Linked DNA regions of Callithrix jacchus. The protein of the gene in region 5 binds, or shares a complex with, the protein of the main gene of each other region. Links are inferred from orthologs where the notes say so. Each region holds a gene or a part of one and is shown on either strand. Other genes may lie near its edges. The genes, in order: SF3A3, CWC27, SF3A2, PHF5A, SF3B5, DDX46 and CWC22.

Region 1 (4,751 bases), on a different chromosome or scaffold from region 5:
TTGAAGTTCATTAGAATAGCACATGTCCAGTTTCCTTTACTCCTTTCCTTTAGTATGCTTTAAGAATAGGTCTGGAGAAAAGACCTATTCTTTTCTCATACCTCATTTGGGTGCTTCCGGTGGAATTCCTTTATTTGCTTGAGTCTATTATAGAATTCAGCAAACTCATTGGGTCCTGAAATGGCATTGAGCTCCTCCTTTCGTAATCTGCAATTTCAGGAAAAATTCAAAGAAGATAGAGCACAAAGTCAGTCCTCTAACTAGGGTTCCTCAGAAACACCAATTCTTAGATTAGCTGTGACTGTCACTTACCCATCCTTATCATCATACAAATCCCTCAGGTTCCCACTGACCTCCATATACCTCTGAAAGGCAAATACAAAACCATCAGAACGACACAATTTGCACAACTGTAGAGCTAAGCAAACAACAAGGGCTCTCCAGTCAAAGCCCAAGGGCAACCTCAAGAGACATGGATATGGTCTTAACAGTTCCTGTACTTCCTAGTACCTTTTAACACACAGCCCTGATTCCAGGTTAGTTTTTTAAATAGGTTGACTGGAAGATTACCAAAATGATATCATTTAAGAGGTGGCTCCTATCTTTACATACCACCAATGCCTAACTCTGTCTGTAACAGATTCATCCTCATTGGCTAAACACAGTTCCCACCTAAAATCCTCAAAGATAATGATATTCACCATTTCAAAAAGCTTGACTGAGGAGCAGGCAGGCTAAATAAACATTACATAGGCTTCCTTTGGAGTCAAAGTATATTAATTCAGGATGGTACAGGTATGTAGTCATGCCTCCAAAACTTTGGGGACCAGGTTTGTTTCAGAATTTGGAATTTTTTAAGTTCAGAAAAGGTATCATATATTATGTAACATCCCTAGTGGAATCTGAAGCACACAGTTCTGCAGTAAACCTTATGCCTTATCTACTAAGTGGGATAAATAAAAGACTATAAAAAGCCTATCCCAGGTTCAGGCCAGGTTTTACTACCAAGTGAGGTCAAGTCAGATTTTGACATCAAATAATCACCCAAGGGAAAAAAAATCCTTAGTTTTCAGAGTATTTTGGGGCTGAGGGCTTGTAATCTGATTCTCTCCTGTAAATCAGAAGATCCAAGTAGGTCTTTTATTCCTTTTTAAACAGGTTTCAAACATACGTTAAGAGTAAGGAAGGTAGCATAACTTCCATTTACTCATCACCCAATTTTTATAATTTATATAACATCTTTTTTTAAAGTAATAAATTGAGCAATTACAAGGCAAATGCAGTTTAGTAGTCCAAAAAACTTTAAAACAGTATCCTGACAGAAAAACACTAATATATGTTTTTTTTTTAAGAGAAGGATTGTAGCTGTGCACTTGTGTCATAGATTCCTCATAACTATTGTTTGCACATCCAAGGGATACGGGATGCTGTAAGAATGTGCACTTGGGCCAGGCGCGGTAGCTCACGCCTATAATCCCAGCACTTTGGGAGGGCGAGGTGGGTGAATCACTAGGTCAAGAGATCGAGACTATCCTGGTCAACATGAGAAACCCCGTCTCTACTAAAAATACAAAACTTAGCTGGGCATGGTGGCGCAGCCTGTAGTCCCAGCTACTCGGGAGGCTGAGGTAGGAGAATTGCTTGAACCCAGGAGGCGGAGGTTGCGGTGAGCCGAGATCACGCCATTGCACTCCAGCCTGGGTAATAACAGTGAAACTCCGTCTCAAAAATATTAAAAAAAAAAAAAAAAAAAAAAAAAAAGAATGTGCACTTGTAGGCAGGGCGCGGTGGCTCATGTCTGTAATCCCAGTACTTTGGGAGGCTGGGGTGGGTGGATCACGAGGTCAGGAGTTCGACATCATCCTGGTCAACATGGTGAAACCCATCCTACAAAAACACAAAAAATTAGCCAGGTGTAGCGGCAGCCGCCTGTAATCCCCCTATTCGGTAGGCTGAGACAGGAGAATCGCTTGAACCCGGAAAGTGGAGGTTGCAGTGAGCCCAGATCACGCCACCGCACTCCAGTCTGGGCAACAAGAGCAAAACTCGGTCTCAAAAAAGAAAAGAAAAGAGCCGGGCGCCGTGGCTCACGCCTTTAATACCAGCACTTTAGGAGGCCGAGGCGGGTGGATCACGAGGTCAAGAGATCGAGACCATCCTGGTCAACAAGGTGAAACCCCGTCTCTACTAAAAATACAAAAATTAGCTGGGGATGGTGGCGCGCACCCGTAGTCCCAGCTACTCGGGAGGCTGAGGCAGGAGAATTGCTTGAACCCAGGAGGCAGAAGTTGCGGTGAGCCGAGATCGTGCCATTGCACTCCAGTATGGGTAACAACAGCGAGACTCCGTCTCAAAAAAAAAAAAAAAAAAAGAAAAGAAACTAAAAGAATGGGCATCTTCCCGAGTAATTAAGAATGCGTAAGAGTTCCCCATTCAGAGAAGTGAGGAAGCACCCTCACGTTCGGCAGCCGGTGGACTGCCCAGACAGAGAGCCCTCGACTGGCCAATCCGGTTACCTTTGGCCAGGGCTCATGCTGAGACAAGCACTTCACTTCCCCTCTCTTTTCCCGCCCTCGCCGACCCAAAAAGAGGCAGACAGCAGCGCACTCACATCTTGCATGGCCCGAGTGCGGTGATCAGAATTGATCTGGTCCCGGAGCTGAAAAAACAAACGGTGACACAAACGCCGTTAGTTTACGTTCCGGAGTAGAAAAGGCCGCCCGAGGGCGGAGCTCACCGGCTCAGGTTTTAGCAGCTGAGGCGGAAAGGCCTTTGGGGCACTGGACTCCGGGAGGAGGTTACCAAGACCGGAGCTCGGAGACGGAGCTCCGGAGGAGACGGGGGCGGAGCGTGGGGAGACTGAGGCCCAAAGCAAGCTCTCAGAGGTCAAACACGGGATAGAGGCCCAGCCTCACACGCAGCCCCTGACCAGACCCAACTTACCGTGGACTTCTTAGTGAGCATCTCTTTGGCCATGACGTCCATGAGCCGTTCTTTCTCCTCATGATAGCGCCGCTGTTGCTCCAGTATCGTCTCCATCTTCCCTTCGCCGCGGACTCTCAATACAGACCACCTACAAGGCGGAAACAACCCGTGCCGCCTTGCGCGCCTGAGTCCCCACGTTGCGCATCCGGCCGCACCAAAGTTCCTCCAGTGCCGGAAGTGTCCAGGGACTTAGGAAAACATGAGCACCACAAGGAGGACGAGTCTATGTTATCGAGATGGCAACAGTGCCACCTGCTGGTCGGAGGTGTGGTGGACGGACGCCAAGAGGTTTGCAGATTCCTCCAGGTGGCATAGGAAAATCCAAGAACTTGAGGTTCAGCGGCGGGCTTCCCGGGGCTTGCGGGTGCCGGCTGGGCGGACAGGTACCCTGTGTGGACTGTGCGAGCAGTTGGAGTCCGGATGGGAGCTGGGAAACCGGAATTTGAGGGCGCAGTTTTCAGCATGAATTATCAGAACGTTTGCTCCTTCTCTGGACCTCAGTGTCTTTCTCAGTGAAATGGGAATAGTGGGGTTTTGCTGGTGGGTTTTTTTTTTTTTTTGAAACGGAGTCTTGCTCTGTCGCCAAGTTGGAGTGCAGCGGCGCGATCTTGGTTCACTGCAACCTCTGCCTCCCGGGTTCAAGCACTTCTCCTGCCTCAGTCTCCCGAGTAGCTGGGACGATAGGCGTGCGCCACCACACCCAGCTAATTTTTTTTGTATTTTAGTAGAGACAGGGTTTCGCTATGTTGGCCAGGATGGTCTCGATCTCCTGACCTTGTGATCCAACCGCCTTGGCCTCCCAAAGTGCTGGGATTACAGGCCGGAGCCACCAATGGTGGTGTTTTAAAAGAAATTCTCAAGTGAGGCCGGGCGCGGTGGTTCACGCCTGTAATCTCAGCACTTTGGGAGGCCAAGGCCAGCGGCTCACTTGCGGTCTGGTCAACATGGTGGAACCCCGTCTCTACTAAAAAAAAAAAAAAAAATTAACCGGGCATGGTGGCAGGTGCCTGTAGTCCCACCTACTTGGTAGACTGAAGCGGGAGAATCGCTTGAACCCAGGAAGCAGAGGTTGCAGTGAGCTGAGATTGTACCACTGCACTCCAGCCTGTGTGACACAGCAAGACTCAGTCTCAAAAAAAAAAAGAAAGAAAGAAAAGAAAAAGAAATTGATGTGTAGAAGGAACCTATCGGTAGAGGATATGTTAAATAAAATACTGTGCATCCAATGAGGTCAGGAGATCAAGACCAGCCTGACTAACACAGTGAAACCACGTCTCTACTAAAAATACAAAAAAATTAGCCGGGCGTGGTGCGTGACTGTAGTCCCAGCTACTCGAGAGGCTGAAGCAGGAGAATCACTTGAACCTGGGAGGTGGAGGTTGCAGTGAGCCGAGATCGCGCCATTGTACTCCCAGCTGGATGACAGAGCGAGACTCTGTCAAAATATGAAATAAATAAAATAAAGTCTGTGCATCCAAGCAGTGGAAGACCTTATGTGAAATGCTATATGGCCTTTAAAAAAAAAAAAAGACTGTGTCTATTTATCTCCACTTGTAGAGAAATGCAAAAAGTCCATGTATTTATATGTTAACAGCAGCATTATTCATAACAGACAAAAACCGGATGCAACCCAAGAGTCCATTAACTGTTGAATGGATCCAATGTGAATGGATCCAATGTGGTATATCTATACAGTACAATGGAACATTATTCAGCAATAAAGTAACACTACAATGATGAACCATGAAGGCATCATGCTAAGTGAA
Region 2 (4,119 bases), on a different chromosome or scaffold from region 5:
ATAATCTTTTATTATACTCCAAAGTTAGTGAAAGGGAGGTTTCCCAGAAATATTCTTTTTGTAAGAACTTGTTATTAAAAAACCTTGAACGGCCAGATGTCGTGGCGCTTGTGAAGGCGAGGTCATGAGTTCAAGGCTAACCTGAGCAACCTTACAAGCTCACACTGATTGGCAAAAAAAAAAAAAAAAACCTTGAAAAGGAAGCCTTCACATATTTTAGGGTGAAAGGACACAAACAGGTTTGCATAGTCTGCAAATGGTTAACATGTAACAAGGAAGGAAAATTATTTTATTTCAGATTTAGCAATATAAAAGGTCAGGTAGGAAAAAAACGCATGTACCAGTGACTAAAAGCATTTACTTACATCATTCCACAATTTGCAAAACAAGATAATTGTTTTTCAAAACCAGACAACAGGTTCGGAAATACTTCTTTTCACACTCCTAAGTGATGCTGTTGGGAACAATGGCTGTTACAAGGCCACTGCTGGCACATTTCCAGCAAGTTCTGGTTATCGTTATTCTTATTTTATCTTCTTTCTTTTTTCTCTCTCATCAGCTTTTTGCTTTCTTCCCTCCTCCTTTTATTCACTGGATTCCGAGGATCATAGATTTCAAATGTGTCTGAGTCTTGCATGCTTGCATCTTTCACTTTTCTGCTTTTATCCTCAAACTGAAGTACATGTGACATCCTAAAGAGGGAAAGAGATGGTTCAGTGATTCTTGCATGGGAACTTAAAGTAGAAATTCTATACTCTACTATCATTGGCATAATGAACCATAAGCGTACGGAACACCAAGATGGGTTTGTTGTTTACTGGTTCTTACACCACATGGAAACCAATTTCTCAGAAACCTCTTAAATTTGAAAAACATGTCTGGAGTTTGTTCTGTTGGTTTATATTTCTAGTAGAGTATCTTTGCCTCAGTTTTCACTTGAGGTTTCTCCCCTGATGGGAGGTTAAAAGAGTTCTATACAGAAGCGTTCCTCAAAGTAAACTCAGAGGACACTGCTTCCTTTAAAGAACACCTTCCTTTAGCCAGAGTGAGTCAGGCTGCAGAACAAAACTCAAGACAATAAACCAGTCCTATCTGATTTTTAAAATTTTCAACAGTTACATGGGTCAAAAGTAGGGAGTACATTAAGCTAATTTAAAAATGATGTTCAAATGGTGTTATGACTCCCTTTCCTGGGGAATTGCCGGTTTAAAAAAATATTTTCTTCATACAAAAGGAAACTAAACTTTTGACATAACTCTATGGACTAATTTCCTTCTACTGTTGATTACAACAAACCTAACCAGTCCTGTTCTCTTACTTCCTCAAAAGCTCACTGGTCTTAAGGTATCAGCATACGCTGGAATCCTAAGAGGTCATAAGCTAGCTATCTTTAGGATCAGTGAAATATGTTAGTAATTAGCTGTGCCCCATACGAAGTGTCAGGAATAAACAGGGAAGTCAAAAGAGCAGACTTCAGAACAGTTGAATGAATTTGGAAAGAGAAAAGTTTAATTTTTAAACAAATAAAACTCTAAGTCTTTTCCTACCAGTTATACCCTATACACACTTTTCTTCATCACAGCAGACAGGGTTAAACTGTAGTATTAATACTTCTTATACGCCTGTTTTAACCCAAATATGGTGCTAATATCTTTTGTCCCATATAAGCAGATGAAACCCAAATATGATGCTAATATCTTTTGTCCCATGTAAGTGGAGATCTGGGCAGTAAGTAGGCAGTAGTGAAGGTCCCTCTCCCTACAGCGGCAGAAATTATGAGTGATATTTACTTGTGTGGCAAACTCCCATGGATATACCCAGATTTTAAAGACTCCTAAAAAGATTATAGGAGGGAAACAAAATGTCACAATTTTAGTGATACCATCATTACTAAGGGTTCAGTAGCTGCTACTCACCAGGGCTGACGAGTTGAGGCTTATGTACCATTTCTACCTTCCCTTGTCCCACCTAAGAAAGCTTGCTGGAATGTAATAAGTAGGAGTGATATATATGGATGATCTAGAATCTACTTTAATTTACTGAATGACTTAAGTCATGTTCACATTTTTATACTTCATTATTATTATTGTTATTTTTGAGAGAAGATCTTGCCATGTTGCCCCAGATGGTCTCAAACTCCTGGGCTCAAGTGAGCACCCTGCCTCAGCCTTCCACGCAGCTGGAATTACAAACACGTGCCACCATGCGTGGAACTATATTATTAATGATACATTATTTGTATCAAATTTAATAACAGATCTCAATACCTGAACATGCTATTTCACATGTGGAGTTGCCAAGTTTTTAATCTTCCATTCCTTTAGTAAACACCTTTATTTAAAAAATGTATTGTATAATCATTGCAAAGTCTAATATTCTTGTGCTTTCAACTTCCTATAATGTTTAGATATTAGCTTCTGAAAGTAAGACAATCTCTAACTCCCAGAAAAAGGCTGACTGTTCTACAGTCATGGTATTAAGTAAACCACTAGAATCAGTTGGAAAAACAATTAAACCAGATTTAAGCAATTAATGATGTCTCACCAAGGTCTAAATGATCAGTGACAACTCACTTCAGTAAATACACCTCTGAAAGCCAATTAACCAGTGACAGCCACATGCTTTTGAAAGTTGGCCCATCAACTGCAGACTCACTCCAGTGAATATGCTTCTGAATGACAGCCCATCAACAATAGTCTCTTTTGAATAAAGGGGCTTTTGAGATTAATAGCTACACCTAAACAATTCCTGACCCCAAAGCACTATGTAAGATTTGCCACCTACTTTGCGTAGGGACACTGTGCCTTAAAAGCACAGTTCTTCTTTACTTAAGTAATAAATTAAGCCTTTTTTCCCCCAGTTATTGAGAGGTAGCCTTTTTCTTCAACATTTCTTACAGTCTTTGCTGCATCCCCCACAAAATATACTCTTTAAAATTGTAAAATTACCACTGATGAGGAGTAACTGCAGAAGAATGGTAGGACTGTCCTGTTAAAGGTCCCTTACCACACATCATGGGGAGTCTAGACCCCTCTACTGCACTTCAGTACATGATTAGCAGCAGCTTTCCAAGTGCTTATGGCTGGCTGTGTTGATGTCTAATCCATCACCAGAAAGTGTAGCAAGAACCATATGCCCTTTAAAACAATTTCATCAATACTCTTGGACGGATATGAGAAAACAAACCTACTATCTTATTAATACCTCTTCATATACATATTCTTCTATTTAAAAAATTATCCTGTTCTCTGCCCAGAAATACAGATGAGTTTTTGTAATATCCATTTCTAGGGATATTACATGGATTCTCCATGTTTCAAAAATGACTTGATCAGACTGTTGTCAATTAAGAATATAAAAAGGCACCTTCTTACTTTCTATGCCATGAGAAAATCTTGCAACTATTAGATTTAGTTGGCTCTGGTATAAAAAATGAACTCTAGACACATGAATAACAGCATAAAGTCCGCAAGAAGAAACAGATTTCCTTACAAATTTGAAAAAAACCATAGAGCCGTAAGTTAAAGGAGCTGTCTTTTTCAACTGTTTGTTTCATACACCACTCTACTAAGCAAGTTCAACATTTTGATTAATAACAAACCTAAACCCAGAGGAAAGAAAGGGCTATCAGCTTACAAACTACTTCAGCTTTAATATCATAATACTTAGCATGGCTGGTTATTTGGCAATAATATTTAATCTTTAAGAGAAATAAAAGCATAATCAAAATGCTTCACCATTTATCTTTCAACATGCTTTGGTCACTTCATTTTGAAAAGCAAAACAAAACAGTTATTATGATTTTCAGCATAATAAATTCCTGACCTACGTGCCTCTATAAATCACAGACTGTATGAATTGAAAGCGTGCCTGTACTTTACGGTCTCCTATGAGGATACACAAGCAGACATAGAATACAGACTTAATTTGAGTACAGGGGGTCTTATAGTTTACAATCGTGTATGTCCCAATAACTCTATCCACTCTGTGGCTGTTTATGGAATTGGCCCAAGAAGAGTAGTGAATTTTTTGGAATTAATGACACACTGATCATTTACATATGAAAATTGTAGAGCTTGTTCACTTGAAGGCAAAAATAAAAATTTAGGTTTGATTAAT
Region 3 (4,802 bases), on a different chromosome or scaffold from region 5:
TGGAATTTTGACAGCCCCTCTTGCGAACTCCATCTTTCCCCGAAGACGGGAATCTCTTAAAACCCAGGAGAGCCACACCCCTCTCACTCCCCCACCCCGACCTGGGGTTTCCAGCCCAGGGCCATACAACAGTGTAGACCCACGCTAATCACGGCAGCCGGGGAAGCGCTGTGCATCACGGCCCGTCCGCCCCGTGGGTACAGCCTGGGCCCACAGGAAGAAAGGGCAGACTCTGGGAGGGGCCCAAGCTTAGGTGGACTTGGCAGGTGGGCACGGCGGTGCCCGCCAGGAGGACCTGACCTTGAGCTGGCCGTGGACAACGCACTCTTGTGTCTGGGGAGGGTGGCGCCAGGCTGGGGACACAGAGGAGGCCTTGGGCGCCTGGGGAGGGGACAGTGCGGCGCCGCGGGTGCCCCGGGCTGCTGGAGGCGCCCCTGGCCTCCCCAGCCGCACTCACTGATGGAGAAGGTGCCGGGCTCCTCCCGGGTGACTCTGCAGCGCTCCAGCAGCAGGGCTCCGACGGGCTGCAGGAGACACGGGCGCCGGGACGCGGCGGTGAGCGCCCAGCCTCCCCGGGGCGCAGCCTGGCACCCACCCGCGCGCCCGGGGCGCCCCTACCTCGGCCTCGTCTGTCCGGAAGTAGAAGAGGAAATTCACCACGAGCTTCACCAGCCGCCGCTTCAGCACTGCGAGCACAGCGCACGCTCAGGGGCGCAGGCGGTCCCCGCCCGGATCCCCACCCTCCACCCCCAGCGCCCTCACCCGAACCCCGGACCCGGTCTCCCGCCCAGGCCCGGACCTCGGTCCCCGCCTCCAGTCCCTAGCACTGTCCCGGTCTCCCGGGTCCCGCTCACCGCTGCCCTTCTTGGGGCCCCTCATGCCCAGCTCGGCCGCCATCTCGGCCGGCTGCCGGGACAGCGCCTGCAGCTCCTTCTCGTTGTACCGCATTGTTCCGCGGGGAACGGGAACCCGTGCCACGCCTTCCCGGCCGCCGTCCCCGCTCGCGCCGGGGCCGGCGCCAAAAAGGTCCCAGGGCGCACACACGGAAGCACCGCTGGGGCTAGTGCGCCTGCGCGCCTTGGGCCGGCCATGCCACCCACCCCCGCAGGGTGGCGCTGGCGTCCCGGGGGGGGGGGCGTGCAAGGGTTGGCTGGGGAGACGGACCGTCGTTACTAAGTTAACTGAAATACACCGGACCAAGGTGGAACAAAATCAAAACAGCCCCGCGAGGGCTGGCGCCCCTTCTTAGAACGGCCAGGCGCAGGCGGAGGGAGCGATAACATCTCCCGAGTATCAGCCGCCCTCTCGCGAAAGTCGGCCCCGCGCGGCCGCAGCGGACCCAGGGGTCGTTGAAAGCGTTGTGCGCACGCGCGCTTTGTTTTCCAGGCCGCACTTTCAGACCCGCCACCTCCAGCCCTTTCCCTCGCGCCTCCGAACCTCCCGACGCGCGCCGCGGGGCGGGCCGGGCATGCGCACACGGGAGTTCCCGCCCCATCTGCCCCGGAAGTGCTTTCTTTTGCCCGCGACGCGCGTGCGCCGAACGAAATCGTGGCGGTGGCGGATCAAGGTGGCGATAGCGCGGCCTTGGGCTCTGGTGAGGGCGTCGGTCGACGGGGACTGGGGGTTCCCTGGAGGGGAGCGGACGTGGGAGAGAAGCGCTTGCTACGGGCCGCGGGCTGAGGGGCGGGCAGCGGGGTCGCGTCCCTTCCTCCTCCCTTGAGCGTCCGGCCTCGTGCATCTAGAGGCCCCGCGCTGGGCGGGCTGGCTCGAAACTCTTATTTCCAAACACCTGTTGGGGGGTCCGTACTCCGGACCTCACGCCTCTAATCCCAGCGCTCAGGGAGGCCTCGGCCGGAGGATCGGTGGAGGCCAGGAGTTCGAGACCAGCCTGTACAACATGGAGACCTCATTTCTACAAAAAAATTTTTAAAAACTAGCCAGGAGTGGTGGTGGCGCTTGTAGTCCCAGCCACTCGAGAGGATCGCTTGAGCCCAGGATGTCGAGACTGCAGTGAGCCATGATCTCACCACTGCACTTCAGCCTGGGCAACATAGCGAGACCCCCATCCCTGCAAATATTGTTTAAAAAATTAGCCGGGCGTGGCGGCGGGCGCCTGTAGTCCCAGCCACTCTGGAGGCTGAAGCGGGAAGATCGCTTGAGCCCAGGAGCTCGAGGCTGCAGTGAGCTGTGCTTGCGCCACTGCACTCCAGCCTGGGCAACAGAGCAAGATCCTGGTTCGTAAGATAAGAAATAGACAACCGAGACTCAGGGGTCGGATCAGGATCGCGGCCGAAACGGTCTGGGTCCGCTTTGTTGTAGCCCAGAGCGCTCCTGCATCCTAACCTATACCTGTTAGTTGACTGGGGCTCTGTGATGTAACTCCTCTCAGCTTCCGTTCCTTTAAAACGGGAGTGACAGCTTCACCAGGCCCAAGGCGAACGGAAAACCTTAGCTGGCCCCATTTTGCAGGTCACCCCAGGCAGCTGGATGCCTGCGACCGTTACTCCTGTGTGTCCTTGGGCAGCACCAAACAGCCACGGGAGCTCTGGAAAATAGGTTGTTTGCTAGGTTTAAGGAGAGAATGGAGTTGCCACCAAAAACTCCCATCCGCTCAGTGTTCCAGTCCCAGGCCCCAGGACTTTCCCCAGTTCCTTTTTTTTGGGGGGGGACGGAGTTTCGCTCTTGTTACCCAGGCTGGAGTGCAATGGCGCGATCTTGCCTCACTGCAACCTCCGCCTCCTGGGTTCAGGCAATTCTCCTGCCTCAGCCTCCCGAGTAGCTGGGATTACAGGCACGCGCCACCGTGCCCAGCTAATTTTTGTATTTTTAGTAGAGACGGGGTTTCACCATGTTGACCGGGATGGTCTCGATCTCTTGACCTCGTGATCCACCTGCCTTGGTCTCCCGGAGTGCTGGGATTATAGGTGTGAGCCACCGCCCCTGGCCTTCCTCAATTCTTAAGTGGGTTTCCCTGGTCTTTTTTGAGACAGGGTCTTGCTCTGTCACCCAGGCTGGAGTGCAGTGGTGCAGTCACAGCTCACTGAAGCCTCAGGCCATGCTCCTGCCTCAGCCTCCTGAGTAGCTGGGACTACAGACACTCACCACCATGCCCGCCTAGTTTTTGTATATTTTGTAGAGACGGGGTTTTGTGTTGTTGCCCAGGCTGGTGTGGTGCTCCTGACCTCAGGTAATCCGGCTGCCTCGGCCTCCTAAAGTGCTGAGATTACAGGCGTGAGCCACCACGCCGGGCTCGGCTAACTTTTGTATTTTTTTTTTAGAGGTGGGGTTTTGCCATGTTGGTCAGGCTGTGCCCTGGTCTTCCTGGACTGATCTGCTGATTTCACGTCAGGGTGGTTGACACTACCTCCCTCCCATCCACCCCCTGCACCTTCACCTTCCACCTCCTGGATGGGCGTCTGTCCTGAGCGGGAGTAGGTCCTTGGCTACGTTTTCTAAATAAGATGGAAAACGTTGTTGGTTGCTGAGAGAAGTAACATGTTCAGCTGGGCTTTTGTTTTGCACTCTTTCTTCCCCTAAAGCTGAGCAAGTTGCTTTTTACCATTAGCCTGCTTTGCTTTTTTTTTGGAGACAGTCTTGCTCCGTTGCCAGGCTGGAGTGCAGTGGCGCCATCTCGGCTCTGTGCAGCCCCTGCCTCCCGGGTTCAGGCGCTTCTCCTGCCCCCGCCTCCCCCCGTAGCCTGGTTTTCTTCTGCCTGTTTGTTTAGCTCCTCACAGAGCTCCAGCATCTCACACACCTATCAGTTGTATTTCACACAGGTTTAAATAAATCCGTCTCTCCTCACCACTTCCCTCCAAGACTCACGTGTCCCCTCCTCCAGGTGGGACTGGTTCTGCTCTGCCCTGGACGTGGGGCTGTTGCCCCAGAGCTTCCGGTCCTTGCTGCCCGGGGCCTGCCTCTGTTTCCAGCGTGGCCACCCTGTCCTCTCCATGAGTCAGAGCAGAACTTCTGGTGGCTTTTGAAGAAATAGATGATTGTTTTGTTGGTGGGGGGGGTGGCCCTTGATTGTCTGAAAATGAGTTTATTTACCCTCATAGTTAGGAATTTGGTGGGGTATAAAAATCTAGATTGAAAATCTGTATTCGTAGGCTGGGCACAGTGGCTCACGCCTGTAACCCCAGCACTTTAGGAGGCTGAGGTGGGTGGATCACCTGACTTCGGAGTTCAAGACCAGGCTGGCCAACTTCACGAAACCCCATCGCTCTAATAATGCAAGCATTAGCCAGCTGTGGTGGCGGGCGCCTGTAGTCCCAGCTACTCCCAGCTACTTGGGAGGGTGAGGCAGGAGAGTCACTTGAACCCTGGAGGCGGAGGTTGCAGTGAGCCCAGATCGCCCTGCTGCTCTCCAGCCTGGGCAGCAGAGTGAGAATTCATCTGAAAAAAAAAAAAAAAAAAAAAAAAAAAGAGAGATGGAAAGAAAGAAGGAAGGAAGGAGAAAATCTGTGTTTGTTCAGAACCGTGAAGGCTGTTTTCAAAAGACGGGCGGCCCGCTGGTTTCTGCTGCGTGTTGTGTTCTGTCCAGCGGAAGCCTCGCGTTCTTCCTGGTGTGAGTTCCCGGCTTCCCCGTTTAGCAGGGTCTGTTTGCTGATCTTGGTGGGTCCTTGCTGTCTGGGCAGTTTGGTCTTTGAGTCCCAGGTTTTGTTTTCAGTTTTCTTGTTAATATTCTTATGTTGCCTCTTTGATAAGCTTTTTCCTGCTTGCTTTGTTGGGTGTTTTTTCTGTCCTCCCTCCAGAGCGTCATCTGGGGTCTTGCTTTTCCTCCTGTTTTTTCAGCCTTGCGCTTT
Region 4 (4,600 bases), on a different chromosome or scaffold from region 5:
TCAGCTTTCTACATAGCTTCTAACAGGGAAGTCAAGGTCAAACTGGAGTCTCCCTATCCTTCCATATTTGACAAGCAACTTGTTATGAGCTCAAAACATTCATTCTGCATTCTGACAAATAGAAATGACAGTACCATGGTTCAGAAAGTTCTGTGAGGGCAAACTGACATAAACAAAAACTGAGTGGTGGTAGGGCTCATGCTTCTGTCACAGCACTTCGGTGACACTCAGAACCAGAACTTTCACCTACTCTCTACCAGTTTTATGACCTATCAGATAAGAAAAACCATCTCATTCCTATGATTACATGAATCAAATGATTTAACGAAGAATTAAAAGTTTTCAAATCTTGTGCAAAGGTGAGAAACTATCATTACTATATACTACGCAGGGGCCCAGAAGACACCCCCAGGCATTCCATGTTCCGCAGAGTCCTCAAAAGGTGGCACAGGGTCCTAGTTTCTTCTCCAGGCCCGGCAACTGCAGATGCTGTCGAGTCTCTGTTGCTATGAAATGGGAAGTGAGGCCTCAGGCACTGGGCCTAGAATGCTCAACAACGACCGCGCCCCCTAGTCACCTTGTCCTCACCTTGAGGAACCGAAACACACTCCACAGAAGCAGGGAATGCTCTCCTCAAGAAGAAGGAGGTGCCTCCGCTCCTCACCTGGCCGCCGCTGCGTGGGCCCACGCTTCTCGCGGGGCGGGGGACGGGGCCAGGAAAGCTGACAGTGTGGGGGACGCCTTGACCTAGGGCACCAGAGGAGCGGGCACGGGTGCTGGGCCCACAACCAGGACAGGTACAAGAAAAATTGGCCCCAGGTCGGGCCCGCCTCGCCCTGCCTCACCCACAGCCGCCGGCAGAGTAGGAGGCACCCCGCCCCCATGAACCTAGAGGTCCCTGAGCTTGCTCACCTGCAGCCGGGTCACCAGTAGGCTGTAGGGCGCCATTTTGTGCACTGACAAAGATGAGGTCGCGTGAAAGTGACGTCCCACACGGCGCTTTTAAAGCCTTTGGGCAGGGGCGTGCCCAAAATAATGGAGCGTCACGGTGAAGGCGGGGTCTCCCTAGAGGCGGCAGAACCCTGAGAACGCAGTGAGCGGAGTTCACGTGTAATGAACCGACACGCAAGAGGAAAAAGAGGAAATAAAACTGCCGAAAGTCACTTGCAGAAGTAAATACCAAGCACAAAGATGTTTATCCAATAAGAAATTTTCATTATCTCTGCCATCCAAATCTGGGAGTTTTTAAGACTTTTATGCACCTGCCAGGACCTGACCGCCCAGCGACAAAACTCTCGCGAGAGCAAGCGGGCCCTGGTGCAAGGATTGTAAACTGACGGAAGCCTAGAGGACCAATCACAACGACGTAGAGGCAGGAACTATAGGGGTTAAGGATCCAACGGAAGTTCCCGAAGCTTCCGGCGGCCGGCTTCGTTGGGAACTATGGCTAAACATCATCCTGATTTGATCTTTTGCCGCAAACAGGCTGGTGTTGGTGAGACTGCGCCTTGCCCCCGGCTGTCTGGGTAGGGGTAGTGTTAGGATCTGGGGGCTGGGGGGGTTTCCATCTCTTCCTTAGGGTCTAGCCTCTCAGGCGCCACGTTTCCCGCCTCTCAGGCATAGAGTGTTGTAGGAGCGCGCAGGTTTGTGGCCTCTGAGGGCGGGGGTGCGCGTGCTGGGAGCCCCAGGCAGGCGTCGGGGTTGGGGTCTGGGCCAAGTCTAGAGAAACTTAGTTTGCTAAGGACTTTGGAAGACATTCAGAAGGATACTCGGGCTATGAGTTTGCTTTATGTGGAAATTTGTAATGATAAAATGGCTATCCACAGGGCTCACTACAGTCCTTGTTCATGTTCCTGTCCCTAGGTCGAGGATGTACTTCCCCTCTTTGTCAAAATCTTTAATTGTACTTTTTACTATCTTTGATTTTGCAGCCATCGGAAGACTGTGTGAAAAATGTGAGTGGAACACACCGTCCAACAACCCACCCTTCCTACTCCCAGTTTCTGTGGAGCCAGCCAAAGTGCCACAAAGGGGTCTTTGAGTAGATGTGCCTGGATCTAGATGCTGGACTTCAACCAAAGGCCCCTCCATCTCCCCACTGCCACTTGCACATATAATGCTGTATCTATCTCTAGCTTTCAACAGGAAGAATCGCCAGAGTAGCGTGACCCCTCCCCAACATACAACATTTTGCCAGCAATTATATAGGCTTATCATCTCCCAAGTGCTTTTCTAAGTTCTTTCCATATGTTAATTGATAAACTTTTGTATGTGTTGAGGGGTTTGAGATGGATGCTGGATAAACCAAGTTTGTGATTCCCAAGAGGAGGGCCCTAAAGTCACTGTCAAAAGGAGACTAGTATCTTTCCCCATGGCAGGAAATAGCAGAGGACTGAAGAACTTGCTAGTGAGCATGACTTCATTCTTTTCCTTGCAGGTGATGGCAAGTGTGTGATTTGTGACTCCTATGTGCGTCCCTGTACTCTGGTTCGCATATGTGATGAGTGTAATTATGGATCTTACCAGGGGCGCTGTGTGATCTGCGGAGGCCCTGGGGTCTCTGATGCCTATTATTGTAAGGAGTGTACCATCCAGGAGAAGGATGTAAGTGTACAGCTTTCCATCTGACCTTTCCTCCTTTTATTTAATAACACTTTGCCATCCACTGCAATCTCCTATGGTCTATGGAGATTACTGTGTTCATCTAGTCATCTAGGTTATAATTTCTTCAAGTTCTGTGAGTCAAACTGGGTGTAGTCCAATAAAAGGCAGTTATTTTGCATCAAGGGGAAAATGCAAGGTAAGCAAATCTGTGTCAAGACCAGCAATTTGGAGAGCCCTCTCTCTATTCTTTTTATGTCTCTCTGTGATTATTCTTATTCAGAAATGACATCTGCTCCAGGCGCGATGGCTCACGCCTGTAATCCCAACACTTTGGGAGGCTGAGACAGGTGGATCATGAGGTCAGGAGTTCCAGACCAGCCTGACCAACATGGTGAAACCTTGACTCTACTAAAAATACAAAAATTAGCCAGGCTTAGTGGTGTGCGCCTGTAATCCCAGCTACTCAGGAAGCTGAGGTAGGAGAATCACTTGAACCCAGGAGGCAGAGGTTGCAGTGAGCGAAAATCGTGCCATTGCACTCCAGTCTGGGCAACAGAGTGAGACTCTGTCTCAGAAAAAAAAGACATCCAGTTGGGGATGGTGGCTCACACCTGTAATCTCAGCACTTTGGGAGTCCACAGCAGGAGAATGACTTTAGTCCAGGAGTTCAAGACCAGGCTGGGCCATACAGCAAGATCCCATCTCGACAAAAAATAATAATTTTTATTTGAGACAGGGTCTCTTGCTCCGTGGCCAGGCTGGGTGCAGTGGCATGATCATGTGCAAGGCTCACTGCAGCCTTGACTTCCTGGGCTCAAGCAATCCCCCCACCTCAGCCTCCCAAGTAGCTGGGACTGCAGGCATGCACCACCACACCTAGCTAATTTTTTTTCTTTTTTTTTTTTTTCCTTTTTTTTGAGATGGAGTTTTGCCCTTGTTGCCTAGGCTGGAGTACATTGGCGCAATCTTGGCTCACCACAACCTCCACCTCCCGGTTCAAGTGATTCTCCTGCCTCAGCCTCCCAAGTCGCTAAGATTACAGGCATGTGTCACCACACCCAGCTTTTTTTTTTTTTTTTGTATTTTTAGTAGAGACAGGGTTTCTCCATGTTGGTCAGGCTGGTCTCAAACTCCTAACCACAGGTGATCCACCTGCCATGGCCTCCCAAAGTGCTGGGATTAGAGGCATGAGCCGCCATGTTCAGCCTGGCTAATTTTTTTGTAGAGATGGGGTCTCGTTTTATTGTCTGGATTGGTCTCAAGCTCCTGGGCTCAAGCAATCCTCCTGCCTGAGCCTCCCCAAGAGCTGGGATTACAGGCATGTAGCCATCATGACTGGCCAAAAAAATATTTTTCATTAGTAGGGTGTGGTGGTGTGCACCTGTGGTCCCAGCTGCCTGGGAAGCTGAGGCAGGTGAATCACTTGAGCCCAGGAGGTCAAGGCTGCAGTGAGCCATGTTCATGCCACTGCACTCCAGCCTGGGTGACAGAGACCTTGTGTGTTTATTAGTCCTATACAGTGCATGTTGTGTCACAGCCACTCATTAATGTCTCAAATCTATCATTAAGCACTATTTGGGTATATATCATGACAAAGTTGAACTTGAGACAATTCAAGTTGACATCAGCTTTAAGCAGGTAACGAATGTCTTTGGTTTAATATTGCAGAAATGATTTTGGACCTGCATCATGATTTTTTTTGTCCCTTGACATTGTGTATGACAGTGGCTACTTAATTATTCAACTCTCTGAGCCAAAAGTCAGGAGAGAGAGTTTATAGACCAGTGCTACAGGCAAGGTTTACCCCATTTCTTTAGGTTAGTGCTGGCAGCAGAGTTTTCTAGGGGGGAAACTATGAATCAGCTTGTTTTCTTCAAAAAAACAAAACAAAAGGAAGTATGGTATAGTCCCACCAGGTTAATGGTGGTACCCAGTTACCTAATTTAATTCTAATTTAGAACAAGGCAAAAGATACACAATTCTGGCCGGGCACAGT
Region 5 (3,324 bases):
TTTTCCCCATCATTACCTGTCCCTCTACTTTTCCCCTTGTTCACCCCCTCCAGCCATGCTTGCCTCTTTGCAGTTCCTCCAGTAAGTCATACATACCCCCAGCGTTGGTACCATTGCACTGGCAGTTCCCTCTTCATGGAAAGCAATTTCTTCACTTTCTGCATGGCTATTTCCCTAAAGTCTTTGCTCAAATATCACCATCTCAATAACTTGTGCATCATATTTAAGATTACAACCCTACCAGCTACCCCACCCACACCATATACATAATTCTCCCCTCCCAGCACCACCTTCTAACATTTGCTTGCTATGCCTACAGTGTTTGACCTTTCTCCACCACCAGCATTAATGTATACCCAAGAACATGGGAAAATGCCTGTCACATAGAGCTCAACAAATATTTGTTGAATGTAGAATGGATGAACTCGCTTGCCATCTTGTCATTTCTGGAGACATGGTTTCAAATTCCCAGGAAAAAGAAAGGATGTAATTTAAAGAGGCTAGGGAAAACAATGACAGCAAAGATTTTTAAAACAGAAGAAAAAGATGGGATACATTAACCGCAAACTTCAAAACTGAAGTCATTGTGAGACTGAAAATAAAGCTCTTGGAGGAAGTGGCAGTCGGGGAACACTATAAAGGTATACAGGCATATCTAAGTGCCTGGCCACAGACACTGGCATTCGCACCCTCACCCAAACCCATTTCCCACTCGGACTCTCGCGAACCTCGGTGCCTGGAGCTCTTTCCGGAGCCCTCCACCCTAACACAGGAAGTTCACACCAAGAGACTGAACGATTTCTAAACTTTATGGAAAAAGCCAATGACAATCAATTAGGCAAAAACGAGACGCCAAATCCCATCTCACTCCAGCGCCACGCCCTCTTCTCAGAGACTTGCCGGCTGCAGGACCTCTCCGCCAGCACAGTTCTCAGGGGTCCTGCTGGTCTCTCAATGCTGTCCCAAAGTGTCCACATGAAGGCGGGTCAGGAGGGACTTCCCCGGCAAGCACTTCTATACGCAGAAAGCGCGGGACGCAGGAGCCATGGAGAGAGCCGGTCCCTTGAAGGCAGGAATACTCGAGGGATTTGGCAAACGGGAGGAACGCTGGGAGAGGCGCCGCGCACGGCGTTGGTAAGGCAGTCTCAGTTCTCCTCGGGCTTGTCGGCTGGCGGTCCACAAGGCTGCAGCATCTTCTCCATCAAGTTGAAGCGGACTCGCGCTTTGCTCTCATTCTCCGCAATGGCGAAGTAGTTGAGAAGGTCGAAGTGGCCCATGTAGGAGCAGTACGAGTCGCGGTGTTGGTTCACCAGCCACTCCCACTTGGTGGTGTCGGCGTGGCCCGTGCCGATGTACTTGGACTGCAAGTGCTCCAGCTGGCTGTGGATGGTGTAGCGGTCCGTCATCTCGCCGCTTTCCCCTTCGCTCCGAGGTCAGAGGCCGCAGGAAACAAGTCACCGCTCTACCGTTTCAAGCGGGAGTGAGGACACCGCACAGCACCTCCGGGCCCACGCGGTCGCAGAAGAATGGCGTCACTGAGACTAAGTAGTGTAACTCTCGCTCATAGGGCTCAGAGGCGGAAGCGGAAGCGGAAGCACATCAGTCACGGAATTGGAGTTGCCGAGGTATGCGACGCTACAAGTGTGCCGCCCCTGTAGTGAGCCGTGCCCCTTCATAGAGCGTTGCATGATGGTCCGCTTAGTGGCTATGAGAGGCCCTTTTCAACCGGGAGCGTTGCATGCTGGGACTTGTGGTCTTGGTCTTTGGAGTTCGTGCACGCCAGCCTCCGGAACTTCTGGTCGCCTTTTAAAAGCGGTATGGGTGCCTAGTGGAGGGTGTTGTCTGCGAGGCGGGAAGCATCCGTGGTTGGCTTGGGGCTGATGGGAAATGGGAAACCCAAATAGGAGTGGACTACGAGCAACCCCGAAAATAAACTCTTATGTATTTCGGACCTATCGTGGCGGCACGGCAGTCCCTTCACTACCCGGGATGGATTACCCAGAAGTCAGTAGGCGCGAGTTCTGGTCCCAACTATGTCGCTTAGGAGTTTGTAGCATCAAAGAGTTATTTCAGCTCTAACCAGGGTGTTTGGTGAGCAAGTACAGTACCCATTTCCTCACATTCCGGCTCCACCTCAAGTTCCTCCTTCCTCTCTAGCCAGTTATTTTGATATCCTCCCTCCAATGCCTCACGGCACCCTACTTGGCCCTTCCATTCAGTGGGTTTTGTGAATTCAACCAACCCGACTGAAAATATTTGGGAAAAAAATTAGTGTGTACCGAAGTGTAGACTTTTAAAGGTTATTATACCCTAAACAATATAACAACCATTTACATAGTATTTACATTGTATTGGGTATTGTTAAATAATCTAGAGAAAAACTATACGGGAGGATGTGTGTATATGCAAATACAAGCCATTTTATATCAGGGACTTGAGTATCTTCTAGTTTTGGTATCCATGGAGTCCTGGAACCAATCACTCACAGATACTGAGGGACAACTGTACTTCTCCATGTTACCTGTTGTGCCCATTCCCCAGTTCCTTGTGCAAGCTGTTCCCTCTACTTGGAATGTCTGTTCCCTTGGTGAACGCATCTGCCTTAAAGGCAGCTCAAATGCATCTCCCTAGAATTTTCTCTGGCTGCTCCAGACAGATGTAAATTCTTCTTCCTCTTTGCAGATTATCCATCTCTTCCTTATTATTGCTTTATATCCTAATTTTTAGTTTAATAACTTCCTCATATGGATAGAGGCTACCTGAAAAAAACGAGATCCTCTTTAAAAATTATATATATATATATCCCAAACAAGAATTTGATAAATAATTGTATTACAACCGTAGAGAAGGAACACTACTGAGAGAGAGAGAACTTGAAAATAGTTTTATTCTGCTGTTTAAACTTTGTTATAACAAACGTTTCACTACTAAAATGTAGAGAATTTTATAAGGCATACTTGTTGGAGATGTATCAAACCTTGACATTTTGCCACTTTTCTGGGGAAACTTTTTTTTTTAATTGCTGAAGGTTTGTGTATCCAAGAGGCCGGGCGCGGTGGCTCATGCCTATAATCCCAGCACTTTGGGAGGCTGAAGCGGGTGGATCACGAGATCACGAGATCAAGACCATCCTGGTCAACAAGGTGAAACCCCGTCTCTACTAAAAATACAAAAATTAGCTGGGCATGGTGGCGCATGCCTGTAGTCGCAGCTACTCAGGAGGCTGAGGCAGGAGAATTGCTTGAACCAAGGAGGCAGAGGTTGCGGTGAGCCAAGATCGCACCATTGCACTCCAGCCTGGGTAACAAGAGCAAAACTCCTTCT
Region 6 (4,119 bases), on a different chromosome or scaffold from region 5:
CCTGCATTTATTTCCTTTCTTGATTCAAAGGAATAAGGGAATAAGCCTTTTCTGGTTCAGTTACCCAGTTTTCAAGGCAAATCCAATTGCATTTTATGGGTTAGGAAGAGTTTTGAGAGCTTTGCCTTAGGAACGTGTTATACTATTCCCCTTGAGAATTATTGACTGTATTTTTAGTTGGCCACTGACCTTGAGTTATAGCCCTTTTTCCAGCCTCTTTCATTGCAGTATAATTTGGTCTCAAGGCTTGAGCCCTGGGGCAACTCAGCTGCATCATATTTGCTGTTCTGTCTTGACAGCACATGTTTCCTCATTTATTGAACAGGGATGTAGTTTCTGGGCCTCTCAGGAGTCTGATGAAGTGGTTCATGCAGTGTTGTTTCTCTGTTTCTGTTTTTTTTCCCACCATAGACAACTGATATTTGAAATGAGACATGTGACTTTTAACAAATAGGTGGTATATTTTCCCATTGATCTACGTAGTAGGATTTGCATAAATATTTCCAGCCTGTTGGTGGAAACATTCCTTATTTATTTCTGTAGAATAACCTAATTTGGTATTTCTAATTCAGTTTTTTTACTTGTCCTTTTTTTGCTTTTGATCTAGATTGATGAGCAAATTGAAAGCATGTTTAATTCAAAGAAGAGAGTAAAGGATATGGCTGCCCCTGGAACATCAAGTGTTCCTGCTCCAACTGCAGGAAATGCTGAGAAATTAGAAATTGCTAAGAGATTGGCTCTTAGAATCAATGCTCAGAAGAATTTGGGCATCGAGTCTCAGGTATTAAGTAATTTGTTCCAAGTCTCAGTCAATACATTTTTTTTTTTTTGAGACAGAGTATTGCTCTTGTTGCCCAGGCCAGGAGTACAATGGTGTGCTCTCAGGTATTAAGTAATTTGTTCCAAGTCTCAGTCAATACTCTTTTTTTTGAGACTGAGTTTTGCTCTTGTTGCCTAGGCTGGAGTGCAATGGCATGATCTCGGCTCACCACAACCTCTGCCTCCTGGGGTCAAGTGATTCTCCTGCCTCAGCCTCCCGAATAGCTGGGATTATAGGCATGTGTCACCATACCCAGCTAATTTTGTATTTTTAGTAGCAATGGGGTTTCTCCATGTTGGTCAGGCTGGTCTCGAACTACCGACTTCAGGTGATCCATTCACCTCAGCCTCCCAAAGTGCTGGGAGTACAGGTGTGAGGCACTGCACCAAGCTAAAACTTTTAATAAGTTCTTTGATTTTATTTTTCAAGGATTATGTTGAGCACAAGTAAACAAGTTGTCCTGGACATTGAGTTTGTGAGAATTTAACATTCTCAACATAGGATTTTTTTTTATAATTGTATTTGGATGATTTTTCTAGTGCTATTAACTGAGGACTTTATGCCTGTTCTAGACTTTCTAACTATTAGCCATAGGTAGTTTTATAGAGTAGTATTCTGATGGGTCTTAACAAAACCGTTAAGATGTATGAATAATTCTGTTTCTTTATAAGCTTTCATTGGGTTATTGGGCATACAACTCCCTGGATGTACAAACACCTAGTTAAATGACTCAAATTAACATGGGCTTAAATGGAGAAATGTAATTTTTACATATTTCATGATACCTCTTTCTTGGAAGCGTATTTGTTATTTTGAAGCTTTTGAGTCAGTCATTATCACATTTTTAATGCTGGGTTGGGTCATGGGGAGGAAGGAACTCAGTGATGGTAGTAGTATAAACTTTCAAATTTGGAGGAAACTCCTAGGAGTTACCAAGTATGTAAATGATTCTGGAAATATTTACTGTATCTGACATCAAGAGTTAGTTAATTATCAGCTGCATCTCTATGATCTAGTAGAATATATAATAGAGAGTTGAATATTTTCCAGTTTTTTTATTCACAGGGAAAAACATTAAACTATGTTATAATTATGTATTGCTAAATCACATGTCAGTGGGGCTATGCATTAGAAGTGTTTATTTATTAAACTTGCATAAAAGTTAGTAGCTTTTCAGAGAATAATTTGTGGTGGGTTCCCTACTCTTGTCTCTGCCCTCATTTGAGATTTAACTGTAAGTCTTCTCTAACTACAGGATGTGATGCAACAGGCCACCAATGCAATTCTTAGAGGTGGCACCATTCTGGCTCCCACGGTGTCTGCAAAAACCATTGCAGAACAACTTGCTGAAAAGATCAATGCCAAGCTCAATTATGTGCCTTTAGAGAAACAAGAAGAAGAGAGACAGGATGGTGGACAGAATGAATCTTTTAAGAGATATGAAGAAGAATTAGAGATCAATGACTTCCCACAGGCAAGTAACAGTTTTAAACCTTTTTTTATTGTGAAGCAGAAAAAGCAAAAATCTCATCTTTAAAACCCATGAATATTTTAATAGCTACTTCACTTTTTACCTAAATGGAGGATGTAACAATAGAAATTTGACTTTTATGAATATGTTCAGTGTACCTTAGGATCTAAATGAACTTATGCAGGTATGTGTTAATAATGATCTTTGTTTTGTTTTTGTTTTTTTGAGACGGAGTTTCGCTCTTATTGCCCAGGCTGGAGTGCAGTGGTGTGATCTTGGCTCACTTCAACCTCTGCCTCCTGGATTCAAGTGATTCTCCTGCCTCAGCCTCCCGAGTAGCTGGGATTACAGGCATGTGCCACAACACCAGTCTAATTTTTTTTGTATTTTTAGTAGAGATGGGGTTTCTCCATGTTGTTCAGGCTGGTCTCGAACTCCCGACCTCAGGTGATCTTCCTGTCTTGGCCTCCCAGAGTGCTGGGATTACAGGAATGAGCCACAACATCATGCCACCACGCCTATCCAAGAATGATCTTAATATTGACCATAGGGCAAAGCGCGGTGGCTCACACTTGTAATCCCAGCACTTTGGGAGGCTGAGGTGGATGGATCACCTGAGGTCGGGAGTTCGAGACCAGCCTGACTAACATGGTGAAACCCCGTCTCTACAAAAAAAAAAAAAAAAAATAGCTGAGCGTGGTGGCACATGCCTGTAATCCCTGCTACTCGGGAGGCTGAGGCAGGAGAATCACTTGAACCTGGAGGTGTAGGTTGTGGTGAACCAAGATCTCACTGCCTCAACAACAAGAGCGAAACTCTGTTTCCAAAAAATATATATATATATTGACCATAATGTGATATCAGTCAGCCTAGTCTTTGTTAGCACTCCTGGGTTTTTTTGTCTTGTTGTGAAGTGATTTTTGTTTTCCTTACCTTTTCTTTTAGACTGCTAGGTGGAAAGTTACCTCTAAGGAAGCTCTACAGAGAATCAGTGAATACTCTGAAGCTGCAATTACAATCAGAGGAACATATTTCCCTCCTGGCAAAGAACCCAAGGAGGGCGAGCGGAAGATTTACTTGGCAATTGAAAGTATGTGCTGTTGGTTCTGTTTCAGTCTTCAGTTTAGATCAAGGTTGATGTAGATGTAATAGACACAGAGAGAATGTGAGGTCAATTCTAGAGAGAACTGAAAGTAAGGAACGCCTCTGACAAAAAAATTTCATGTCATTTGAGGTCTTTATTTAGAAATTCAGTACGTATGTAAAAGTAAATGATCTGTTTGTGAGACTCAGTTTTGACAAATCAAATTTGAAAATTAAAACAACATTTTGAGGACTGACCTTTTTATGCTTAGGTATATTCTGGCCTAAGTTTAGGTTGGAATGTAAATCAACTATATTAATCCACTTAATGAATGTTTATCTAGGCAAATATTGCCTGTGAAATTATGCTCATGAAAGTTTATACCTTTAACAAAATAACAAGTAGACAATTAACGCCATAATCTAATGGATACAAATAATACATTATTACATTATCTAACAGCAATCAGGTTTTTCTTTTTTTTTTTTTTTTGAGATGGAGTCTTGCTCTGTTGCCCAGGCTGGAGTGCTGTGGCACTATTTTGGCTCACTGCAACTTCTCCCTTCCAGGTTCAAGCAATTTTTCTTCCTCAGCCTCCCGAGTAGATGGGACTGCAGGCGCCTGCCACCATGCCTGGCTAATTTTTGTATTTTTAGTAGAGATGGGGTTTTACCATATTGGCCAGGCTGGTCTCACAAACTCCTGACCTTTAATCCACCGGCCTCAGCCTCCCAAAGTGCTGGG
Region 7 (3,561 bases), on a different chromosome or scaffold from region 5:
AAATCTTAACATATCTGCTCTTGTTGGTGCATTTAGTGTCTCTCTGCAAGTATCAGAGAGGAGAACTATTGTTTTGGCAGGAAGAGGCCTTTCATTGAGAAGTATATATTCATACTGTTAAGCAAACCCAGTTGTTCTACTCCTCCTATGTTTAGGAAGTGATTGCTAATTTGTGTTATCATTGTATTTCGATTAGGTACCACATCTGACATAATATTCCTATAAATAACACACATCAGACGGAATTTCAATTTTTTGATTAAATTTGTTAAGTGGAAATGTACTATTCGAGTCATTTTCTAAAAATTTTTACATTTGCTATAAAATTTCTTTTTACTGTCTTGAATCTAAAGATCAAAACAGTACTTTGGTAACTAATGTTGAGATATTATATATTCCCTCTCCTTTCTTCTTCCTTGACTTTCCTCCTTCCCTCCTTCTTCCCCTTCCTTCCCTTTTTTTTTTTTGGCAGAGTCCCACTTTGTTACCCAGGCTGGAGTGCAGTGCATACATGGATCACTCAACTTTTGCCTCCTGGGCTCAGTTGATCCTCTCACCTCAGTCTCCTGAGTGGCTGGGACTATAAGCGCATGCCACCACACCTGGCTAATTTTTGAGATTTTGTAGAGAAGGGGTTTCACTTCATTACCCAGGCTGGTCTGGAACTTCTGGGCTCAAGCAGTCCACCTCCCCACTGTCCCTGCTTCCAAAAGTGCTGGGATTACAGTCGTGATCTGCTGTGCCTGACCTGAGATGTCCTATATTCTTAAAAATTAAGCATTTGTTAAGACCCTGTGTCATCAGACCTTCTATTCAATCAATTTGGCTTTGCGTCCAGTTTATCTGAGTTAGTAAACCTACAGTGTATCTGTAAATGTGATTGTTGTAATTATGAAATTAAGATTGAAATAAAAGCTAACTGTCTTTTATTTTACATATGCAGCTAATGATGTAAGAAAGAAGGGACATGGGAAGACCAGAAGTAAAGAAGTAGATAAATTGATCAGAAACCAGCAAACAAATGATAGGAAACACAAAGAAAGAAGGCAAGAACAAAGGCACCAGGAAATAAGGACTGAGAGAGAAAGAAGATCAGAAAAACACAGAGATCAAAATTCAAGAGATTCAAATTGGAGAGATCCTATGACAAAGTACACATCAGACAAAGGTGTTCCTTCTGAACGAAATAACTACAATAGAGTTGTGAATGACATAGACCAAGAAATGCATATAGATTTGGAAAGTAAGCATGGTGACCCCAAAAAGAAGAGAGGAGACAGAAGTTCTTTTTCTGAAAATGAGAAGCATAGACACCGAAATAAGGATGGTGAAAATTTTAGAAGAAAAGATAGATCAAAGTCAAGGGAAACGAATAGAAAACACTCTGGCTCAAGAAGTGATGAAGATAGATATCAGAATGGTGCCGAGAGGCGATGGGAAAAATCTAACAGATACTCTGAACAATCCAGAGAATCAAAGAAAAATCAGGACCGGCGGAGAGAAAAGTCTCCAACTAAACAAAAATAATTCTACAAAACGACACAAACTGGACATGCCTTATATTCAGTTGAAGCATATTATTTTTTACTTTGATTGACAAACTTTATAGAGAATTCTTGTATAAACTAATGGTTTGTATTTGTAAATTTTAAAAATGTTTTCATGTTTTATAATTGATACATCTCAAGGCCCTACACATAAAATTATTTGAGAAGATTCACCAGAAATGGATGTAAGTCTCACTTATATTTTATGAATAAAATTATCAAATTGCTCATTGATTCAGTCATTTTTTTTAATTGACAAAATTTTTTTTGAATTGTTTAAGAAGCTGTTATAGTGAATTATTAGTGCTTTTTTATTTCTAACTGAAGACCGAAACAGGTGAACCTTCTCAGTTTAACATTTTTGCTTTGCTAATGAGATGTCATGAATCTTTTTCAAGTGGTCACTTTTTTAAACCAAAGGATTTATTACAGTTTTCATATTAGGCTTTGAACAAAGTAAGTAATGTGTAATTTGTTCACAAGTGTTGGTAAAGCTAGGTGTATGTTAGTCTTTAAACCAATACACAGTTATTTATAATTAGGACTACTCCCACAGGCAACATTTCTTCTCTCTGGACTGCTTGATATCATTTAAATGAAATTCTTTGTGATTAGTACATTTTTCTCGGCCTTGAAGTTTTGTCACTGTTGATGAATTAATATGTATTTAATTTTTAATTTTGATTAATAGATCATTGGAAAACTTAACGGTTGTGAGATATGCAAGCAGCCTAACTGTAATTTGTTTTTTTATACGAACTTTAAGGGTTCCATCATTGTAACTGTCACCGATTAATTAATATGACCATATTATTTATTACTTTTGAAATAAATATTGCCTCTGAGATCTTAGACTTGCTGGCAAACATTTGACCTTACTTGCTAAATGTAGACTTGTGCTTGCTCACCTTAAAGGTGCATATAGTTTGTTTTAGCCAATGTTTGGTTTCAGGAATACTGAGGCCACTATTTTAATGTTTAGTTTTTGGGCATATGCTGATTCAAAATGTTTCCTATTTTTGTTGTTTAACTTGACTATAAGTAACAATAAAATTTATGTAATTAAATATCCTCGCCTTCTCCCCACCAACTCACAAAAAGCGTTCATTTGAATGAGATAACTTAGATAATTCTTTTTAGTATTTTTCTCCCTTTGTGGTGGTTAAAATTTGCTATCATCGGAAGGGGACTATCATAGACATAGTGCATTCCACAGAACTGCAAGCTGAGGAGATTGGATTTAACAAACATGTGGGCCATAAGCCCTAAGGGAAATTATTTTTTTACTTGAACCCTCATCTTCGGGAGTGGTAAAAAGGAAAAAGTAGTAGACTAGGAATTTTAAATTACTTTTTTCACTTAAACCTTAGTTCATGACTTTTACATGTAAATATGGGAACCCATTCTTTTTATTAAGTACTTAAGACCTTAGAGTAGTTAGATTCTTTTTTAATGTTATTAATATGTATTAAGCTTTTACTATTTGCTCAGGTTTGTTTTAGGTACTAGAAATAAAACTGTAAACAGAGTTTCTACACTTTGGGGCTTATAGTTCAGGGGAAGGAGATGGTAAAGACAATAAATAAATATGTGACATATCTAGAAGTGATAAGTGCTATGAAGTAAAGCAGAGAAAGACTGAGTGATTGGGGGACAGGGGGTATAGAAGGTCAGAGCAGTTCTCTGATGAGGTGATGTTTGCCCAGATACCTGAACAGAGTGAGTACTTGAGACGTGGATTTCTTGGGAAGAACCTTATAGGCAGAAGGAATAGCTGAGATACAAATGTTTTTTGATAGCAAATAGCCTGGAAATTTTTGTTAACATTTCCTATTCTACTTAATTTGTGTTTTGTCTTCTGTGTGTGTGTGCTCCTCACTACTTTATATTCTCTTCTACAAGCAATTAATGCCTAACTCCCTCTAGCAGAAGTATTTTAAGTGAGTCATATCAGAAGTAGAGACTAGAAGATGGATTGAGGAACTATCTTGTTCTGCCTTCAGAATGCATTTCT

Evidence for each region.
Region 1: SF3B5 (region 5) and SF3A3 share a complex: the UniProt entries of both Homo sapiens proteins name them as parts of the 17S U2 SnRNP complex. The link is inferred for Callithrix jacchus from reciprocal best matches to the Homo sapiens genes SF3B5 and SF3A3.
Region 2: SF3B5 (region 5) and CWC27 share a complex: the UniProt entries of both Homo sapiens proteins name them as parts of the minor spliceosome. The link is inferred for Callithrix jacchus from reciprocal best matches to the Homo sapiens genes SF3B5 and CWC27.
Region 3: SF3B5 (region 5) and SF3A2 share a complex: the UniProt entries of both Homo sapiens proteins name them as parts of the 17S U2 SnRNP complex. The link is inferred for Callithrix jacchus from reciprocal best matches to the Homo sapiens genes SF3B5 and SF3A2.
Region 4: the proteins of SF3B5 (region 5) and PHF5A are in contact, whole or in part, in a cryo-EM structure (PDB 7EVN), measured with the Homo sapiens proteins. The link is inferred for Callithrix jacchus from reciprocal best matches to the Homo sapiens genes SF3B5 and PHF5A. Residues at the interface, in NP_112577.1 of Homo sapiens: Arg4, Tyr5, Thr6, Ile7, Gln10, Leu14; in NP_116147.1 of Homo sapiens: Pro6, Asp7, Leu8, Ile9, Phe10, Cys11, Arg12, Ile88, Leu91.
Region 6: SF3B5 (region 5) and DDX46 share a complex: the UniProt entries of both Homo sapiens proteins name them as parts of the 17S U2 SnRNP complex. The link is inferred for Callithrix jacchus from reciprocal best matches to the Homo sapiens genes SF3B5 and DDX46.
Region 7: SF3B5 (region 5) and CWC22 share a complex: the UniProt entries of both Homo sapiens proteins name them as parts of the minor spliceosome. The link is inferred for Callithrix jacchus from reciprocal best matches to the Homo sapiens genes SF3B5 and CWC22.

The regions. Positions count from the first base shown.
Region 1 is NC_133508.1:74,563,142-74,567,892, forward strand, and holds the start of SF3A3 (splicing factor 3A subunit 3), read right to left. Parts: upstream 3,096-4,751; 5' UTR 3,040-3,095; coding exon 2,944-3,039; intron 2,660-2,943; coding exon 2,612-2,659; intron 1,888-2,611; exon of another isoform or gene 366-1,887; coding exon 313-365; intron 208-312; coding exon 102-207; intron 1-101. UniProt on the Homo sapiens protein: Component of the 17S U2 SnRNP complex of the spliceosome, a large ribonucleoprotein complex that removes introns from transcribed pre-mRNAs.
Region 2 is NC_133503.1:144,474,962-144,479,080, forward strand, and holds part of CWC27 (spliceosome-associated protein CWC27 homolog), read right to left. Parts: intron 693-4,119; coding exon 530-692; 3' UTR 1-529. UniProt on the Homo sapiens protein: As part of the spliceosome, plays a role in pre-mRNA splicing. Probable inactive PPIase with no peptidyl-prolyl cis-trans isomerase activity. As a component of the minor spliceosome, involved in the splicing of U12-type introns in pre-mRNAs.
Region 3 is NC_133523.1:2,116,447-2,121,248, forward strand, and holds the start of SF3A2 (splicing factor 3A subunit 2), read left to right. Parts: upstream 1-1,531; 5' UTR 1,532-1,594; intron 1,595-4,802. Other genes in the region: PLEKHJ1 (pleckstrin homology domain-containing family J member 1), read right to left, coding at 301-524, 619-686, 855-948. UniProt on the Homo sapiens protein: Component of the 17S U2 SnRNP complex of the spliceosome, a large ribonucleoprotein complex that removes introns from transcribed pre-mRNAs.
Region 4 is NC_133502.1:192,269,841-192,274,440, reverse strand, and holds the start of PHF5A (PHD finger-like domain-containing protein 5A), read left to right. Parts: upstream 1-1,398; 5' UTR 1,399-1,443; coding exon 1,444-1,526; intron 1,527-1,863; coding exon 1,864-1,955; intron 1,956-2,437; coding exon 2,438-2,604; intron 2,605-4,600. Other genes in the region: ACO2 (aconitate hydratase, mitochondrial), read right to left, coding at 913-948.
Region 5 is NC_133505.1:150,851,644-150,854,967, forward strand, and holds SF3B5 (splicing factor 3B subunit 5), read right to left. Parts: upstream 1,527-3,324; 5' UTR 1,407-1,526; coding exon 1,146-1,406; 3' UTR 791-1,145; downstream 1-790. Other genes in the region: uncharacterized protein LOC118153004, read left to right, coding at 1,527-1,625. UniProt on the Homo sapiens protein: Component of the 17S U2 SnRNP complex of the spliceosome, a large ribonucleoprotein complex that removes introns from transcribed pre-mRNAs.
Region 6 is NC_133503.1:33,232,469-33,236,587, forward strand, and holds part of DDX46 (putative ATP-dependent RNA helicase DDX46), read left to right. Parts: intron 1-607; coding exon 608-784; intron 785-2,075; coding exon 2,076-2,294; intron 2,295-3,236; coding exon 3,237-3,381; intron 3,382-4,119. UniProt on the Homo sapiens protein: Component of the 17S U2 SnRNP complex of the spliceosome, a large ribonucleoprotein complex that removes introns from transcribed pre-mRNAs.
Region 7 is NC_133507.1:49,068,679-49,072,239, forward strand, and holds the end of CWC22 (pre-mRNA-splicing factor CWC22 homolog), read left to right. Parts: intron 1-943; coding exon 944-1,527; 3' UTR 1,528-2,614; downstream 2,615-3,561. UniProt on the Homo sapiens protein: Required for pre-mRNA splicing as component of the spliceosome. As a component of the minor spliceosome, involved in the splicing of U12-type introns in pre-mRNAs. Promotes exon-junction complex (EJC) assembly.